4 linked regions of the Drosophila melanogaster genome follow. The gene in region 1 interacts genetically with each later gene. Each region holds a gene or a part of one and is shown in the gene's direction. Other genes may lie near its edges. The genes, in order: tut, CstF50, Not1 and IntS9.

Region 1 (3,935 bases):
GAGATCAGGCATGTCCATCACATCCTTCATCGTGCCATCCGAGTTGTAGTATGCCAAGCACTGGACACGCAGCTGTTCTCTACGCATCAGCAATCCCTGAACAGTTGGGTCCGTAACGCCAATAGGAGAATGGCATTGGGCACTGGCTCGCTCGGCAGGAACATCCTTATGAATCTTCTTTGGCGGCTTTGGCGGCGGAATCTTCGATTTATATTTTGATTCGATTGTGTTTTTCAAACGTTCGGCCATTTCCTCAAAGCAATCCCTCAGATTTTTCACAGCACTTGATCGGCGGTTGACCTGATCTATGACATTGGTGATCTTGATGAGTTTCTCTTGGGATAAGGAACTGGAGGAATGGGTTCTTCCGCTGTCAGGTGCATCCCGATTGAATGTGGAGCTCGATGGATGCTGCTTATTTCTCGAGAGCTCATACTCCAATAGTTCGACTCTCTTCTTCACAGTGTGACTATCAGCACCATTTGGGGACTCGAAGCCAGTCCTTGGATAAACTTGGCTATCCTTCGAGTCAGAGGATCGCGTATTTGTTTTTCGTATTATTGTCACAATGCTGGCAAAACTACTGGTCGTAGGATCATTTTCCGATTGTTCGGAAACCTCCTTGATGGGTTCCAGTTTCCTGGGTCGTAAAATTTGAGTCGAGCACTTCTTGAGCAGTGTAGGTGATTTGCCAGTAGCTAACTTCTTACATGGCTGGCCTCTGTACTCATCCAAAATTACGTTCAGATTCCTACTGTAGTTACGCACATCCGTGAACGGTTCCTTGAGCACTCCAAAGTCCTTCAAGTGGCCATGCATGAGCAGCATCAGGCTATTTCGGGCCAACTTCTCGCTGAGAGGAGCCTTCTCGAATATCTTTATCCATCTGGCCATGATGGGGCGATCCGACTGCTTAGCCCTTGCCTGATCGGCATACTTGTAACTGGCTAGCTGCTGCCTGAAATGGCGATCCAGTAACTCCTCGCTTAGATCCTTCATGGCCACATTCGCATATTCAACCGGAATCAACTGATTTTGTTCCCAAAAAATATTTGTAATTTTAATGATTTGAATAAAATGAAACCGCTTACTCAAATCGGGTAAGGAAATGCGGAAATATAAGTGGGACTAGTGGCCTTACTCGGCGACTGTCACCAAACGTCTCTCAACCGCAGAAAGGGGAGGGGGGTCAAAAGTGGAGCTCAGGGTTTCTCAGAGATGCTTCAAGTGGTGGGCCCACGTCTGGCAACAAGCACAAGGAGCAGCGACACTACACTTTAAACAAAGAATATCAGAGCTTACTTTTCAAAGAACTTAATGGATTTTCTTGTCGAAACACTCTTACCTGGTGCGTCTCTACACTACGTGGACTAAACTGGACTTCACAGTGATAGCTTTTGCATTTACCACTTCATTTAAGAAAACTGTTGTGTATTAATCTAACAACATGTTACCTCCCACAAATAGTTTAATGTCAGTAATTTGCTTATGGCCATTTCGAAACAATGAATTATTAGTGTAACAGCAGTAGCAACAAAACAGTATGCGGTTGCCACGTAAATTTTCATTAGCGCAGCGCGCGTATAAATTAGGAAAATGAAGCAGCAGCAGCGGCAGCAGGCACTTGAGTGCACCGCAACCTCCATCAAGATGCCCCCTGGTGGGGTGAGTGGGTGGTGGAGTGGGTGGCGGATGGGCGGCTTAACCGCAGCAACAACAACAGCGAATGCGATGCGAACCTACATACATACATACATAGGTGCTGCGGCTTGTGGCGAACTGTGAGCAAAAGTTGCAAACGACCGACTGCCTGCATAAATTTATATTGTTAAACATGAGCTAGAAAAAAGCACGCGCAGCCTGTCAAAAGAAAGCAAAAATAAAGAGCAAAGAAATTGCCTGACATGCAAAAAGCGGTTTGGAAAAAGAGTAAAGTAAATGCATAAAGTACATAGCAAAAATAGAATACCTTCGTATAGAGCTGAGTTCGCAGCAATGCCAAAAAAAGACCTCTTACGCAAAAATATAATATGAAAACACTCTCTATTTTACACAAATGTTAAACATTCAAACAAGTTCATAAACAATAATAAGTTTATGCCCCTCCGTTACTTTACCTAAGTGTTAAGTATAAAGAATTTTACCAACTTCATTGACTATCTGGCAACGTCGCGAGCGTTGTATGTTTTAAAGCTTATTTGGTCACACTAAATCATTGGCATCTTAGCTTTTTTTTTTTTTTTTGATGCACGCGTGTATGCTGTGTATTTTTTTTTTTTTGCTATTTTTAAAATGGATTTCGAGAGCAAATACTGCACCAGTCAAGTAAATGGCACTATTACCATAACTACGCGCAAAGTCCTTGATGAAAATCTAAAATCCTTACTGGATGAGGGAAAGGGCGAGGTGAGTGTCTAGTGAAGCATCTAGTCTCAAAAGTTTACGGAGACACTAATACGTTTTTGCTTCTAGCTGTTTCTCTCGTGTATACCGAGGAATCACAGTTGTTCTCCGCGGTGGATTGTGGAAGTGGCCAGCGAACTGGGTGAAGTTTACATTATGCGCTATAAGATTGATTTTTCGGGAAATTCTCGCGGCTACGCCTACTTGCAATATATCAATGTGGACCTCAAGGAATCGGCAATGCAATAGTACGTACTTCGTAATAATTTTCACATAAAACAGCACTAACCCTAATAATCCCAGTCTGCCAATGCGATTCCGACAGCTTTGCATGTGCTTAAGGGTGGAGCCATCGACCAACAATCGCGAGCTGGTGCTCAAAAACGTAGAATCGTCGCTTAGACCATGGCAAGTGTACCAGGAGATGTTGAAGATACATCCCTTTACCATCGTTCGAGTCTACGAGTATCAATTAGACCAGTTCTTCTATATATTTGAGTACCGCAACAACGACTCGGCCGCAAGTGCCCATCAGAGAGTAAGGAATTCGATCAGAAAATTCGGTGAGCATGCGCACATCTCCTGGTTGACTGCGGAGAACATCTTGAGCAGAGCCAGCGGTAGCTTCTGTTTTCAACGGGAAGTAAGCCAAAATCGTACTCGACGCGTTCCTCCCAGACAAAAGGGCTGTTTCAAGTTTTAAATGGAAGTGGTATCAAGTATGTTACTTTATTGGTTCATGCTACCAAATCCATAAGGCTCCAAATGTTTTGTTTGTACTACACGTAAGTAGGACGAAAATGTATAAAATACTTTAATACTTTAGTTATATTTTTTCTATTGTTAAATAAGTTTATAAGTAAAATAAGAGTACTCTTAAATAAGTCAACCATTTAGATATGAATGAAGATGTTTATTGCTTGATTTGTGTAAGTTTTTGTAATACGTGGAATTTGAAAACAAGAATATGTGTTTTGCAAAGTTAATCTCTGATTTTTTAATGAAATTTTAAAGCCAAATATCAAATCACTTTTAGAATGCATACTATACCTTAAAAAAAAACTAACCAAGCGGATTTTGGAATTCCTGTGGCTCTCTGGGCAGTAAATTATGTTGCTGCCCATGCGAATGTAACATAAACTTTCACCAGTTGTTAGGACAGGGGGAAATTATACACAGCATTGTTCCTGGCAAATCCTTTTGGCCCGCCGCTTCTCACTCTGATGAAATGCAGCCGCAGCTTGTTGACTTCATTAACTCTGGGCAAAAACAGCGAGCAGCCATAAAAATAAAAAAAAATAAAAAAAACAACACCGACAGCGCAGCGAAGCTGCAGTTTTTCACATGCAAATTAATGCAGTGTCTTTGGAGTGGCGGAGTGGCAGCCAGGACTTTCAGGGCAATGCGACAACCTGCGGCATAATGCAATTAAATGAGTGCAGCGAGCAGGAGTCGACGCTAGCCTCCGGCTGGCATTGTGTTGGACACGGTGTCTGGGTACCGGGTCTGACTCCAGATTACGGGTCTCCAAA
Region 2 (4,282 bases), on another chromosome or scaffold:
CAGAGATGCAGGGCAGGAAAATAATCTGCTAACCATGTGTCATCATGCCGCGGATATTTTTTTTTTGCCTGCGAATTCCAATAGAAACTACTCGGGAATAAACGGCTTGAGAACGGGAAGGAGAAACGGGTACAATCCAGGCAAAATCGAACGCGCACACACATGCAGCCGGTCGCCATGTTGGAATTCGAAAGTCTATGCAACTTTATTAATTTACTTGCAATTTAAGGTCGCTGGAAAACCAATTTCCAATTCGAATCGATTTACACAGCTATTATGCAAAAGGAATGAGAAGACCGGCCGGCAGCGCAAATCACTTACACTCTCTCACTTTTCGGAACTTTCTTTACTTTAGAACTTTCTTTAGGTTGGAAAATCGAACCGAAATTCGCCTAATAATGCAGGGTAGGGAATTCTGGGACTTTCCCTTTTTACATTTCCACAACTAATCAATGCCTATTAATATTTTCACAATTTAACGGGAGCTCTGCGTGCACTTACCTCGAAATCACAAAACGGAAAGACCGAAAAAGCAACGATGCTGAGGTGAACGGAGCTGAACTGATTCCGACCTAGAGATGGCACAGGATTCCATGTATGACAAGGGCCTTGGGTTTCCTATTGCATTATGCGGATTTCTTGACTTAAATAAAGTTTCCATCCCTTAAGTATAAAACGTACCAAAATAAAAATAGTAATACAATTTTACTACCATTCATGGAATATTTTATATTCTCTTAAACTGAGTCTTTTGCAGATAAAATAATATAGTACTTTCACGGACTGTCACTAAAAGTATGCACATTCACCACTAATTGCAAAAGACATTGTGCACACTATTCGCTTATGCGTTGAAATAAGACGCAAGCTCCTTCCTTTCTCTCTCTCTCGTCCTGTCGTACGACAGAACAATAGAAAATTTGACAGAACAAAAATGTTAGAAAGGAATTTGAAAAAATACTGTTAATAGTAATGTAATGTAATTAACAGTAATGCTTTAATACGTAGACCTTTTGCGTTCGTCTTTACTTGCCTATTTTATTGTATTAAAAGAATTAAAGTAAGTCTAAACATTACAATTAATAGCATTAGAACCCGAAAACGACTATAATGTACATTGGTCAAGAGCCATTATTTCCATTCACTGTCCGACTCGTATTCCTCCCAGTCCGGTTTCACGCCCACGGGCAACTTCTTCTGCTCCAGGTAAACGTTAAACTGCTCCGGAATCGACATAAATCTGCGAATCTTCAAGCGGAACTGCCGCCACGTCCACTGGCCAAAGTTTTTCCGATCGGCAACCATCGCCTTGTAGTTAAACTTATGTTTGTTAAGAAAGTAGGACAGTTCCTTGACCACGCCCTTGGGTAATCTGTGCAAATACAAAACCTGTATTTTGACAGTTTTCCATTGCAGAATCAATATTTTACCTGAACTCTGGGTCGGCTCGCTCGCTAGCCAGTTGTTCTAGTTCCTGGACTACGTGTCCACGTTTTGGACCCTCCTCTACGACTGGTTTCTTGAGGCCCAATACACGCCGCTCATCCTCGTCCAGCTCCTCCTCCAGAAACCCATTCACAACTCGGGCCGCTAGGAGGCGGTCCTTCTTGTAGCTGGGAATCGCAATGGCCTTGTTGACGTCCTTGGCCAACCCCATTTCACTGAAGTTGGTGCCCACACGCTGGTCCTCCATCCACATCTTTTTCATCCTGGGACTGGTAAGATCATAACAGAAGGTTTTCGTAAACTTGTTGACTCTATTGGCTGTAAGTGCACCAAGATCCAACTTACTCCTTAATTTTTCCGGTGGAACTCCGGGTTTTATTCATCGTCTTGCGGTTTACATTGTAGCGATAACGCTTGCGAGCATGATTCTTGCGGATCTTCATTGTTGAGAGGTTTAATTAATGAATCAAACAATGTTTAAAATCAATTGAGGGGACCAAAACAATTTTAAAACCGCACGTGTTGCAGCTGTTAGGAGTGACCGTGGACCGTAAAATACCGAAACCCTGATTTCAGTATTTCAATACCGCATAGCTAGAGATGACATACCGGCAAGATAAATGTTTTCGATAACGATAACGGCACGGCGTTATCTACAAGATTTTGTTTATATCCGTAGGAAACAAAATATAAATTAAGCCACCATGCGTGATGAGATTTTGGACCCCAGTAACCTAGTGAAGAACCGGGAGATACTCTACCGACTGATGATCAGCCAGCTGATGTACGACGGCCTGGAGAAGTTCGCCATGGAGCTGTCCATGCTGGTGAAGGCGGACCAGTGCGCTCCCAGTGAACGCCTGCTGCACGTAATGATTGCAGGGATGCAGACGCTGAGCGACAAGGACAAAACCAACTCGGATGATGTGCTGCCCGGCATAGACTTGGAATTCGAGCCGGAGGCTTCGGCCTTGGCCCCGGAACCACATTCCTACGAAACCGCGTATGTGACCTCGCACAAGCAGGCCTGTCGCGCCGGCGCCTTCAGTTGCGATGGTTCCCTGGTGGCCACCGGGAGCGTGGATGCCAGCATCAAGATTCTGGACGTGGAGCGGATGCTGGCGAAGTCTGCGCCCGAAGATATCGAGCCGGGCAGGGAACAACAAGGCCATCCAGTGATTCGCACGCTCTATGATCACACTGATGAAGTGTCTTACCTGGAGTTCCATCCCAAGGAGCACATCCTGGCCTCCGCCTCGCGCGATGGCACTGTTAAGTTGTTTGACATTGCCAAGCCTTCGGTAAAGAAGGCCCACAAGGTGTTCACCGACTGCGAGCCGGTGCTGTGCCTGTCTTTTCATCCTACTGGTGACTACGTAGCCATCGGAACGGAACATAACGTCTTGCGGGTCTACGATGTGGCCACCACCCAATGCTTCGTGAGTGCCATTCCCTCGCAGCAGCACAAGGCTGGAGTTACTTGCGTGAAATATTCGCCCACGGGGAAACTCTACGCCACAGGCAGCTATGATGGTGACATCAAAATATGGGATGGGATCAGCGGGCGGTGCATCAACACCATTGCCGAGGCGCATGGCGGAGCGGCAATATGCTCACTGGAGTTTACGCGGAATGGAAAGGTAATGGGACACTATGGGTAGTGGCTGTGCAAGATTTTAACTTATTCATTTTAGTACCTCCTATCTTCCGGTATGGATTCACTGGTTTATCTGTGGGAGCTGTGTACCAGTCGTCCCATTCAGACGTACACGGGCGCTGGAACCACCGGCAAGCAGGAGCACCAGACAGAGGCTGTATTCAACCACACAGAGGATTACGTGCTTTTCCCCGACGAGGCCACCACTTCGCTTTGCTCGTGGAACTCCCGTAACGGCTGCCGCCTGACCCTTAACTCGCTTGGACACAACGGACCTGTCCGCTATATTACGCATTCGCCCAATGGTCCTGCTTTCCTCACCTGCTCCGACGACTTTCGGGCACGTTTCTGGTACCGAAGAGCAAATAATCAGTAAACGGATGAAGCTACACCAATCGAATAAAACTTTAAGGAATAAAATATGTACACGTTCATTATTCAATTATTGTGATTGGCTGTGGGGGTTTTTAAGTGTATCGATTTGTGATTTTATCAGAATTAATGAAATATGTTTCAAACGCTTTTAAAAATAATTAATCAGTAAAATTTTCTTTATTAAAAACTCGTTTGTGGTTTTTCCATGAATAGTTATCCTAAAATCGCAACTATAATTTCTAGTCATTGAGCGCACAAGTCTTAAGTCGTATTTGTTGCGTTAAGTAAACTGTAAAAATCATAATACATAATACCAGATTGGGATTCCGTATAAATATCAGTTGTCTCTTCACTGGAAGTCCGTTTTGTTGTACGCTGGAACATTGATCCAATGCCTTATGACTACACCTAGATCCTAGTTAAGTGGCCTTAGTAGTTAATTAAGTTTACAACATTTCGTGGGGCCGCAGAACAGCGTTGTCGCGTTCCTCCGAAGCCACCAACACGTTTTGAAGATTGCACAATTAGCCAATACATTTGATTCCAACTTGTTGCCAAGGAAATGAACAAAATTATACTACGGACTTTGAGTATTAAACAAAATATAGCTATGTACAACAAAAAATAAAAAACAAAGGTCTATATAAAAAGGTTTAACAAAATCACAAAGAGAAATGAAAAGTTCTAAAGTTGCTTGCCTTACGGATCGTGTGCGGATCCAGTAAGCGGCCAGTCGAATTGTTTATAATTAAAGCCGAAAGTCATTAAAGTTCACTGAACTGCTCAATTGCGTTGCTCAATTGG
Region 3 (4,869 bases), on another chromosome or scaffold:
CAATGAATCTACAGACCCAAAAAAGAACAAAAAAAAACCAAGGAAGGCAGAGACAAAAACAAATTGCGCCGTAGGTGAAATGAAAAGCGCCAAGAAGCAACAGCGAATACGTCAAATATCTCTAATCTCCAATACCAGTGCACGCTAAACGTGTGTGCTGAACAAAAAATTCTGGTGGCCTCCAACAAAAACAACAGCAACAAGAAACATCCGCTGAGGAATTGACAACTGATACGTAGAATTATGAACGTAGAGAGCCAACTGAAGACACCGCCAACGCACATTCGAAATCTGGTCAAGCACGTGAACAAGCGAAATTTTAATGAGAGCAGCGAGCAAATAAATCAGGTAGGTGCCCAAGTTATTCTACCAAAGTTTCCATGAACCATTTCCAATTCATTTTGTCAACAATAACAACAACATTTTGTAGGGGGCGGGGGTTTAGTGTTGCCAAACCGACAACATATCGCACCTGGCCAACCAGAGTTGCCAATTGTTCGCACTCACGAATGGGCTATTGCCATTTCACTCGCTCGTGCATTTTTGCCGACGCCATTACAGTTTTTTGGTAAAGGCAGCTGAAAAAATTTCTCTGCACGGCGTTGCGCGTTTTGTGAGCGTTTTGTTTAAGCTAAAAGTTTTATAGAATGTGTAAAACCAGGCCAATTGTGTGCGCTTAGCCACAAACGTGTTTCGTGAGTTGATGGCAGTGTGAATTTTGCAGCGTAGTAGTGCGAAATCGAATTGCGAAATTCGAATTGGGAAGCCCAAGCCAAGCGCAGGGCTTTTCGGCCCCGAAACTTCTGTTTTTTCATTGCCAAACGAGAGAAACCAAATTGAATAGTAAGTTCGTGGGACAAATTGCGTGGGAATATCAATTGCGGCCGCTTTCTTTTCGCTAGAGTTGCAATATGTCGCACTTTTTCCTGTGACCCCCTTCCTTTCGCGCACCGTCATGCTCTCTTCTCTCCTTACCCATGTAACGTTTCGCCAACGTGTGCGAGCGAGAGGGCGCGTGTGTAATTTGTTGTGGAGCAGCTGCGACGGCGGGGCCAAAGCTGTTGTCTCGCTCCCCCGTTCGGAGTGAGGCCTTGATTCCGGACTCCGAGCTCCGGATCAAATATTTCAACAGTTTTGGATCCGTAGGGAGGGAGGGGGATATCTAGCCTCCTAGAAAAGTTTTGCCATTCAAATTAGTATCATAACAAATACTTGGCTTAGAATGGCACCATTTGCCCAACAATCCCCTAAAAAGTAATCGTTTGTGGGACAAACTATGCTACAGATCCCGTTTTCTTGACAGTAAATGGCATATTCCTCAAAAATTAAAAAAAATGATAAAAAAAAATGATAACAAAACAGAGTCATATACTTCAGTATTTTGAAATTCTCAACAATCTATATCTGCCATTTAAAAAGCCTGATAAGTTTTCAAGTTATTCGAACTCAGTAGGATTACCAAATTTTCACTGATATTCAATGTTGGAATGAAGTACTAGGATAACCCAACGGAATTTATAGTAAGAAAGGTCTAGGAATTTGTTGGATTCCATGGAGAAATTATCGGATAGAAAATACATTAACTAACTTAACGATAGCCCAATTTGAGATATAGTCTTCCATTTAGTTATAGCATTCAAGATAATCTCAGAAACCTGTGAGCCCAACAATGGTGCACCTAAACTGGAATTCCCAATGATAAAATTCATGTTTTAACCCTCTGGTTGCGCTTTTAAAAAGCCAATTGGGTAAAGTTTTTAAGCGGGCAAGAAATAATGACTTAATGGATTTACTTTTGAAAACAGTTGCCTGGAGTTAGAAATAATCCCTCCAAAATGTTACTTTACATCTTGCCCTGTATCCGTAAACACATATCCAATTGTACAGAGAAAAGTTGAGACACTCACAGAACATAATAGAACCTGTCAAAATTTCCAAGTTTGCGATGAAAATCACATAAAAAAAAATCCCGGTCACCGCAGAATCTGAGGAATCGTTTGAAACATACACTGTCCCTTATACAGTGATATGTGTCCCAGATTGCGGGCAGTCGCTGTCAAGGCACTTATATTGGCTTCCAAACCCTACGCAATGCAGCTCTTTGATTCTAAACCATACATTACTGATAGCATTTACGACATCTTGCAGTTCGTTAAAGAGCACGGCCTGGAAGCGGATCGCAGCAGCCTGCGCCACCTGTTCTCCGTGATCAACTTCAGCGATCTCGTGCCATCAGTTACGGTCCAGCTGCAGGCGAAGCTCCTGGGCATCCAGTTGGAGCGTCAGCTTCACAGTTCATCGTTTGTGTCCAACATCTGCTACGCTTTTGACCAGTTCTTCGCCAGCAACCAGAAGGTAAGTTGAGTTTACAATGCCCACAATGTGTTGATTACTTATGGATACTCATTCCTAAGCAGTCCCTGAAGCCTGTTGCGGTAGCGGATCTCGTTGGCCAGGTCGCCCGACTGACCGGCATCAACAAGGTTTGTGAGTGCGTCTTTGCCTTGGCCTTGACCCACTCCTCGTACACAGAACTCAAACATTCTGCCAGGAACAACCTAAAAGGTAGCCTCAGCGAACTTATAGACTCTTACTTGGGTAATAAAGGCACCGGCCCAGCCGACAGCGGTCTCCGGGAGATCTCCTTCGATCTACTGCAGTATTTGTTGTGCTGCCTTAGCGAGTACGTACAACCGCAGGTGGAAGCACAGTTTTTGATCAAGCTTCGTGAGGAGTTTCCGCGCCAGGCGGTACCGCTGGTTCTAGCGCCGTTCCTTTACGGCTCGACGACGGCGACGATTGCGGGAGCAGGTGCCAGCGAAACGGATGCGGAGGCCGAAGCGACGACTAATAGCAACAGCTCCAGTTTCGAAGCAGATGCTTTGAACGAGGTGGGAATCGAGGATATTTATGACCATTTAAGCGAGATAATATTCACCAACCAGGTGCGTAAGACACTCATTGAAAAAGACAATTCGCTAATTGAATGTTGTGTTGCAGGGCAAAAATAATATTATGGACACATCTTGGATTAATCTAATCCTTGAAATCGGTTATGAATTTACATCGAGCGTTGAAGAGTGTAAGAATCATTTGTGTTCCCGCGAGCGAGAACGCGCTGAGCTCCAGTCCAAAGATGTCGCCAAGATCGTGGGTCTTATGTGCCGACGGCACTCCTCCCTGCTCGATTGTAATGTGAATCTACCGACGCCGGCGAACTTCTGGCCTGGTCAGGGACAGGGCGGTGGCAGCAACAGCAGTGGCTCTTCGCAGACACAAATCACTCCGCAGCAACAGAACCCGGGCAGCAGTAACAACAACGATGGCAGCGATGGCAATTCGTCCAGTGATAAGAAGGACAAGAAGGAGACGACGGAGGCCACGCAAACTTGGAAGCCAGATGTCTTTGTGCAGGCGCTCAAGGAGGTGGTGCCTCAGCTCAACTGGAAGGACGTGTGCATGGGTAATAGCTAGATAATTGCTTCGCAATCGCCAATCTATAGGAATATCATTCTTAATTTTTAGAACTTGATCATCCCGAGTTCGTGCTGAAGGATCGCATCGGTTTGGAGCTTTTGCTCACCATCCTTCGGCTGGCCACTGGCTCTAACATATTTCCACATCCAGAATGCATTTACCGTCACTGGGCAAACACGGAAGGTCAGCTGTCGCTTATCGCGACAATGCTGAAGAACCCGGATCTCTTTTCCTTCGCCGACTTTGTATTTAGCCAGCCAGCGTTGGATGTGCTTAAGACGGCTCCGGATGCGGACAATAAGGAGATCTCGTCCTGGAAGTCGCTTCACCTGGTGGAGGTGCTGCTCTCCATTGCGGACAAGGGATACTATACGCAGGTCCATGAGCTATTCAAGTTCCCAGCGCAGAACTGTCCCGATGTGCTATTTTTGGCCTTATTGAACACAAGTCCGCCTATGACGCCACTGCGTCAGGATCTGTTTAACCAACTGATACCAACGTTCCTTGGCAACCATCCCAACTCGAACGTGATCTTGGCCAGCGCCTGGAGCTCGAACAACTTCCAACTTCGTTCCAATATCATGAATGCTATGTCCGAGTGGTATCTCCGAGGCAATGAGTTCGATCAGGTGAAACTGTCGCGCATCCTGGATCTTGCCCAGGATTTAAAAGCGCTATCAGCGCTGCTCAACGCCCGTTCATTTTTATTCATTATCGACCTGGCTTGCCTTGCCTCTCGGCGCGAGTACCTGAAGCTGGAAAAGTGGCTTACCGATAAAATTCGCGAACATGGAGAGCCTTTTATGCAGGCTATAATCAAGGTTCTGCACCGCCGCTGCCCGCAGGTTATCAACGCAAAAGTGCCAGAGGATCAGCTGCCTCCCAAGCAGGCGCAGCTTTTGCCCGAGACAGTTACCACCATGATCAACTGTCTGCAAACGTGCATCAATAACTGCATGCAGCCGGAGATGGTCGAAGTCATCATGCAAATGACCGCGAACGTGGCGATTATGGCTAACAAGGCGCGTGCCCAACAGCAGCAGCAGCCAGGATTGGTTCCGCCGCCTCCACCAACAATTCTGCGCGGCCATCGTGGTATGGATCTGCCTGGAGGCATAGTCCCTCCGCCACCGCAGCAACCGTTCTCCGGAAACCTCAACGCGCAGATGTTTGGACCAGGAATGGATCCGCTAACGAATATGTCCAACAACTTAGCCGGCCTCAACCTCAGCGGCCCGAACGGAGCATTTAATTTTGGAAACATGCTAAGTAAGTGGCATTCATAGGCAATGAGTGCATAATCTATCACAGATGCCTCTTAATCCTATCTAACGAAATTCTACGTGCAATTTCAGCTTCTCCATCGCGTCTGATGACTCCGGGAGCCAATCC
Region 4 (4,881 bases), 7.9 Mb from region 1:
ACAGGCCTCCAGTCGTGCGTCATGGTCATACGCATCCTCAGGGATCTGTGCCAGCGCGTCTCTTCCTGGCAATCGCTGCCCCAATGGTCTTTGGAGCTCCTCGTAGAGAAGGTCATCTCGTCGGCTGGCTTTCCCATTTCGCCCGGTGACTGCATGCGTCGCATCATGGAGGCCTTATCGTCAGGCTTTCTAATCAACGGACCGGGCCTGCTGGATCCTTGCGAGAAGGACCCCACAGACGCTCTACTCGAGTTGACCAAACAGGAGCGCGAGGATCTCACTGTGTCCGCACAGCTCTTCCTGCGCTACATTGCCTTTCGACAGATTTACAAAGTGCTTGGCATGGAGCCATTGCCGGCGATGAAGTTTCCAATGCGTCCATGGCGTGTCAACCGCAAGCGACGTAGGTCATCGGGCAAGGCAGGTGGTGCACCCGGCACGGAGACCGAGTCCAATGACATCGATGAGACCGGCTCCGATGAGAAGGTGGCCAAGAAGGAGGGTGTCGGAGGCACTCCTGCCAGCACCTAAGCGGCGAGAATAGGTTATATACACGTAGTCGGCTACTAATATTACAATTTCTCTCAAGATAAAAGCGCGACCAGGCGTCACTTAACTATAACCAACTCTAATCTATACACGAGTATTCAAACCGATTGGGGCACAAGGAGCTAAGCATGTCCAACATGTTGCCCAATCGGCGATTAGTGAATCCCAAATTACCCCAACTTTAACTAACAATATTTAGTGGATCATAAAACTTGTATTTTTCTAGCATTAGTGCAAGGCAAGGCAATGTATTCAGTTTGAATGTGAACATTATGGCCCTCACACTCATATACACAAATACTAGAACGAAGCGGATTTTAATAAAACGTATTGAACAATTATAATTAAATTATTTTTTTAATAAAGATAAGCTTAATTCATTCACGTAACTGGAAATCTTAATTGGAGATAATCTAGCACTGATAATATTCTTCGCTTTATAAATAAGTTCTAATTGAAATTAATTCAAATATATATTTATATATATGATATATAATTTTTAAGGAATTACAAGAAGTCGTTCCACTTAGAGCAAATTTTCTTAGTAACTGTTGGCATATTTTCAGCGGAACGTTTAGAGGATCGTGGCCCTGTGTTCCTGGTTTTCTTAAAGTTCATAGAGATTTCGTCGGAAAGTTCATCGGTTTTCGTAGGTTTTGCTGCAGGCTTTTGAGTAGTTTCAATGGTATTATCCACATAGTTTGCCCATTTATTTGTTTTCTTCTGAGGTGTGGTGTTTTCCTCTTTTTCTTGGCAGTCTTTCTCCTCTTCGAGCTGTTGCTTTGCCGTGAGGAATAAGCCCGTGTTCAGACATTCCTCCTGCATTCCGCGCTCTAAGTTGAGATGCTGCACCTTAACCCGGCATTCCGCTGCCGATCCTCGAAAGAATTCCTTGAGCAAACTTTGCTTTTGGCGGCAAATTTTACACTGCCATGTGCTTGCCTTTTTCACGAAGTCCACCTTGTTTAAATTAGGTATATATATATAAGTAGTTATTGAGTTCTAAGATATATTTCAGTTTGTTTGCACTCACCTGGTACATTTTGCATTGAATGCATTGTACCACGCGAATTTGCTGGGACATTATTCAAATTTGCGAAAAACCAAATAAAGAGACCAGGGATGGAAACCAACAGCACTGCAACAAGTGGAGTGAAAAAAATGTGGTTGCACAAATGTTAAAGCGTGATGACTACAGTTTAACAAGTAGTAAAACATTTACCAAAATTTGTAATTAACTAATTTTGGTACCTATGGTTAATGATTTAGCCGGGTGCTGATTCCGGTTCATAAGTGAACCAAATCGTTCCCCATCCCTGGTCCAAATATAAACAAACTTGCATCGTCTAATCGGCACTGTCGGTTTAATAAAATGCGATTGGTAAGTCATCCTGAGAAGTAAATAACAACTTAATTAGCGGAAGTGACTATCCACTTTGCAGTATTGTCTCAGCGGGGACCTGGCCAAGCCATGTTATATCATTACCTTCAAGGGCCTGCGGATTATGCTGGACTGCGGTCTCACGGAGCAGACAGTCCTGAATTTCCTTCCGCTGCCCTTCGTTCAGTCACTGAAGTGGTCCAATCTGCCCAACTTCGTGCCCAGTCGGGATCATGATCCCCAAATGGATGGCGAGTTGAAGGACTGCTGTGGCCGGGTTTTCGTGGACTCGACGCCCGAGTTTAATCTACCCATGGACAAAATGCTGGATTTCAGCGAAGTGGATGTGATACTTATCTCGAATTATCTTAATATGCTGGCCTTGCCGTATATCACGGAAAACACGGGGTTCAAGGGCAAAGTCTATGCCACGGAGCCAACGCTGCAGATCGGCCGATTTTTCCTGGAGGAGCTGGTGGACTATATCGAAGTGTCGCCCAAGGCGTGCACCGCGCGCTTGTGGAAGGAGAAGCTTCATCTGCTGCCCAGTCCCTTGAGCGAAGCCTTTCGCGCCAAGAAGTGGCGCACTATCTTTAGTCTTAAGGATGTCCAAGGCAGTCTGTCCAAGGTGACCATCATGGGCTACGACGAGAAGCTGGACATCCTCGGAGCTTTTATCGCCACTCCTGTCAGCTCGGGCTACTGCCTGGGCTCGAGCAACTGGGTACTGAGCACGGCGCATGAAAAGATTTGCTATGTCAGTGGTTCCTCCACGTTGACCACACATCCGCGGCCCATCAATCAGTCGGCGCTGAAGCACGCCGATGTACTCATTATGACCGGACTGACGCAGGCGCCGACGGTAAATCCGGACACGAAGCTGGGCGAGCTCTGCATGAATGTGGCCTTGACGATCCGCAACAATGGGTCTGCCTTGATTCCCTGTTATCCTTCGGGCGTTGTCTATGACCTCTTTGAGTGCCTCACCCAGAATTTGGAAAACGCTGGCCTAAACAATGTTCCCATGTTCTTTATTTCCCCTGTGGCAGACAGCTCCTTGGCGTATTCTAATATCCTGGCCGAGTGGCTTAGTTCCGCCAAGCAGAACAAAGTGTATCTTCCAGACGATCCTTTCCCACATGCCTTTTACCTTCGCAACAACAAGCTGAAGCACTATAACCATGTGTTCTCCGAGGGCTTTAGCAAGGACTTCCGGCAGGTTTGTCTAACATAATTGTGAAAACTTCATACTACAAATTCTCTGTCTTCCTTACAGCCCTGCGTGGTCTTTTGTGGCCATCCTAGCTTGCGTTTCGGCGACGCTGTTCACTTTATCGAGATGTGGGGCAATAACCCTAACAACTCCATCATATTCACGGAGCCGGACTTTCCGTATCTGCAAGTACTGGCGCCCTTCCAACCACTGGCCATGAAGGCTTTTTACTGTCCCATCGACACCTCTTTGAATTATCAGCAGGCAAATAAGCTGATCAAGGAGTTGAAACCAAATGTGCTTGTCATCCCAGAGGCATACACAAAACCACATCCCTCGGCCCCAAATTTGTTCATTGAACAGCCGGATAAGAAGATAATAACGTTCAAGTGCGGCGAGATCATACGTCTGCCATTAAAACGGAAGCTGGATCGAATTTACATTACCTCGGAACTGGCCCAAAAGATATCGCCAAAGGAGGTGGCGGCCGGCGTGACCTTCTCCACATTGACAGGAGTTTTGCAAGTTAAGGACAAGGTCCACTGCATCCAGCCATGTGCGGATAGCGTTAAAGACGAGACCATCTCGAGCAACAGCGCTCCGACAAAGGAGGATGTGCTGAAGAACGTCAAATACGAGTATGGCAGCATTGATGTAGATGCAGTGATGAAGAAGCTGGCACAGGATGGCTTCTCCAACATCAAGCTAGACCGCACTGGCGGCGCTCTGACTCTGAACCTTGTCAATGAGGACACAGTCATTAAGTTCGAGGACAACGAGACGCATATTATCTGCGGCGGAAAGCCAACAACCCGGCTCAAGCTGCGAGACACCATCATGAAATGCTTACAGAGTTTTTAAAAACATAAATGTATTCCTTACACCTAAATAACAACACATCATTACGCTTAGTTCTTTGCCTCCATAACGTCAGAGCAACGTTGACACGTTTTCTGCTCATCCTCCAGACCATAGCGACGACAACGTGGGCACAGTGATATCTGAAGTTTACTTAAAGCAATATCCAAGTCGCTATTATGGGACTGTAAGAGCGTAACTGACCCCACTTGCAATATCTCGCATAATTCAGAATTGCTCACAGACTCTCCAAGAGGGCTGTGAAGTTCTCGCAGCAAATCCAGCTGGCTTCTTTCCTTTCCTTTGATGGTCACGGCCAAGTGCCAGGTGTTAACATCTCCAGCCTGTTGGTTAATAAGTCGTTTAACATCGAACGCTGCATTAATCACTTCAGTGGCTTTGGTGTCCTGCCATTCAGGATTAGTCTGAACAATTTGCTCGTGGAATGCACCACCTGTGGTGTCATAGTAGCTCCAGCTTTCCTCCACCAGGAAGGGAACAATGGGCCATAAGCTCTTGCAGAGTTGTTGATAGCAGTGGGTAAGAGTTTGACGAATGGCCAGTAGCTCGTGATCATCACCACAATAAAGACGATCCTTGATGAGATGCACATAGACGGCGGACACCTGATTTGCAATGAAGTTTTGGACACAGGCGACAACACGATTGTACTCATAAGCTTGGTATAGCTTCTCCACCTTAAAAGCGATTGACATGATTAGTTGAAAAACTAAGATTAACAAAATTTCCTACCTCAGATTCAAATTCAACCAGCTGGCTTAACAAATAACGATTAAGATAGCTCTTATCCGAAGTTCGTATAAGCTTCTCCCCCGATTGTTTCTCTCCAATTACGCCTTTTAAATATCGCATAGTTCCG

Evidence for each region.
Region 2: of tut (region 1) and CstF50, changing one enhances a phenotype caused by changing the other (phenotypic enhancement), as found in Drosophila melanogaster (one study listed by BioGRID).
Region 3: of tut (region 1) and Not1, changing one enhances a phenotype caused by changing the other (phenotypic enhancement), as found in Drosophila melanogaster (one study listed by BioGRID).
Region 4: of tut (region 1) and IntS9, changing one enhances a phenotype caused by changing the other (phenotypic enhancement), as found in Drosophila melanogaster (one study listed by BioGRID).

What each region holds. Positions count from the first base shown.
Region 1 is NT_037436.4:8,209,029-8,212,963, reverse strand, and holds tut (tumorous testis), read left to right. Parts: upstream 1-2,220; 5' UTR 2,221-2,292; coding exon 2,293-2,406; intron 2,407-2,472; coding exon 2,473-2,651; intron 2,652-2,706; coding exon 2,707-3,106; 3' UTR 3,107-3,387; downstream 3,388-3,935. Other genes in the region: CG8006 (uncharacterized protein), read right to left, coding at 1-999. UniProt on the Drosophila melanogaster protein: RNA binding protein that forms a complex with bam and bgcn, involved in 3'UTR-dependent regulation of a subset of mRNAs. Preferentially binds a long isoform of mei-P26 transcripts.
Region 2 is NT_033777.3:31,734,749-31,739,030, reverse strand, and holds CstF50 (cleavage stimulation factor 50 kD subunit), read left to right. Parts: upstream 1-2,067; 5' UTR 2,068-2,150; coding exon 2,151-3,086; intron 3,087-3,140; coding exon 3,141-3,479; 3' UTR 3,480-3,528; downstream 3,529-4,282. Other genes in the region: CG11563 (uncharacterized protein), read right to left, coding at 1,132-1,372, 1,431-1,715, 1,792-1,889.
Region 3 is NT_033778.4:9,573,664-9,578,532, reverse strand, and holds the start of Not1 (Not1), read left to right. Parts: upstream 1-1,837; 5' UTR 1,838-2,028; coding exon 2,029-2,355; intron 2,356-2,414; coding exon 2,415-2,945; intron 2,946-3,000; coding exon 3,001-3,463; intron 3,464-3,525; coding exon 3,526-4,746; intron 4,747-4,832; coding exon 4,833-4,869.
Region 4 is NT_037436.4:16,102,604-16,107,484, reverse strand, and holds IntS9 (integrator 9), read left to right. Parts: upstream 1-1,857; 5' UTR 1,858-1,921; coding exon 1,922-1,930; intron 1,931-1,991; coding exon 1,992-3,149; intron 3,150-3,206; coding exon 3,207-4,004; 3' UTR 4,005-4,051; downstream 4,052-4,881. Other genes in the region: Zn72D (Zinc-finger protein at 72D), read left to right, coding at 1-531; CG43295 (uncharacterized protein), read right to left, coding at 1,057-1,509, 1,583-1,633; IleRS-m (Isoleucyl-tRNA synthetase, mitochondrial), read right to left, coding at 4,052-4,699, 4,755-4,881. UniProt on the Drosophila melanogaster protein: Component of the integrator complex, a multiprotein complex that terminates RNA polymerase II (Pol II) transcription in the promoter-proximal region of genes.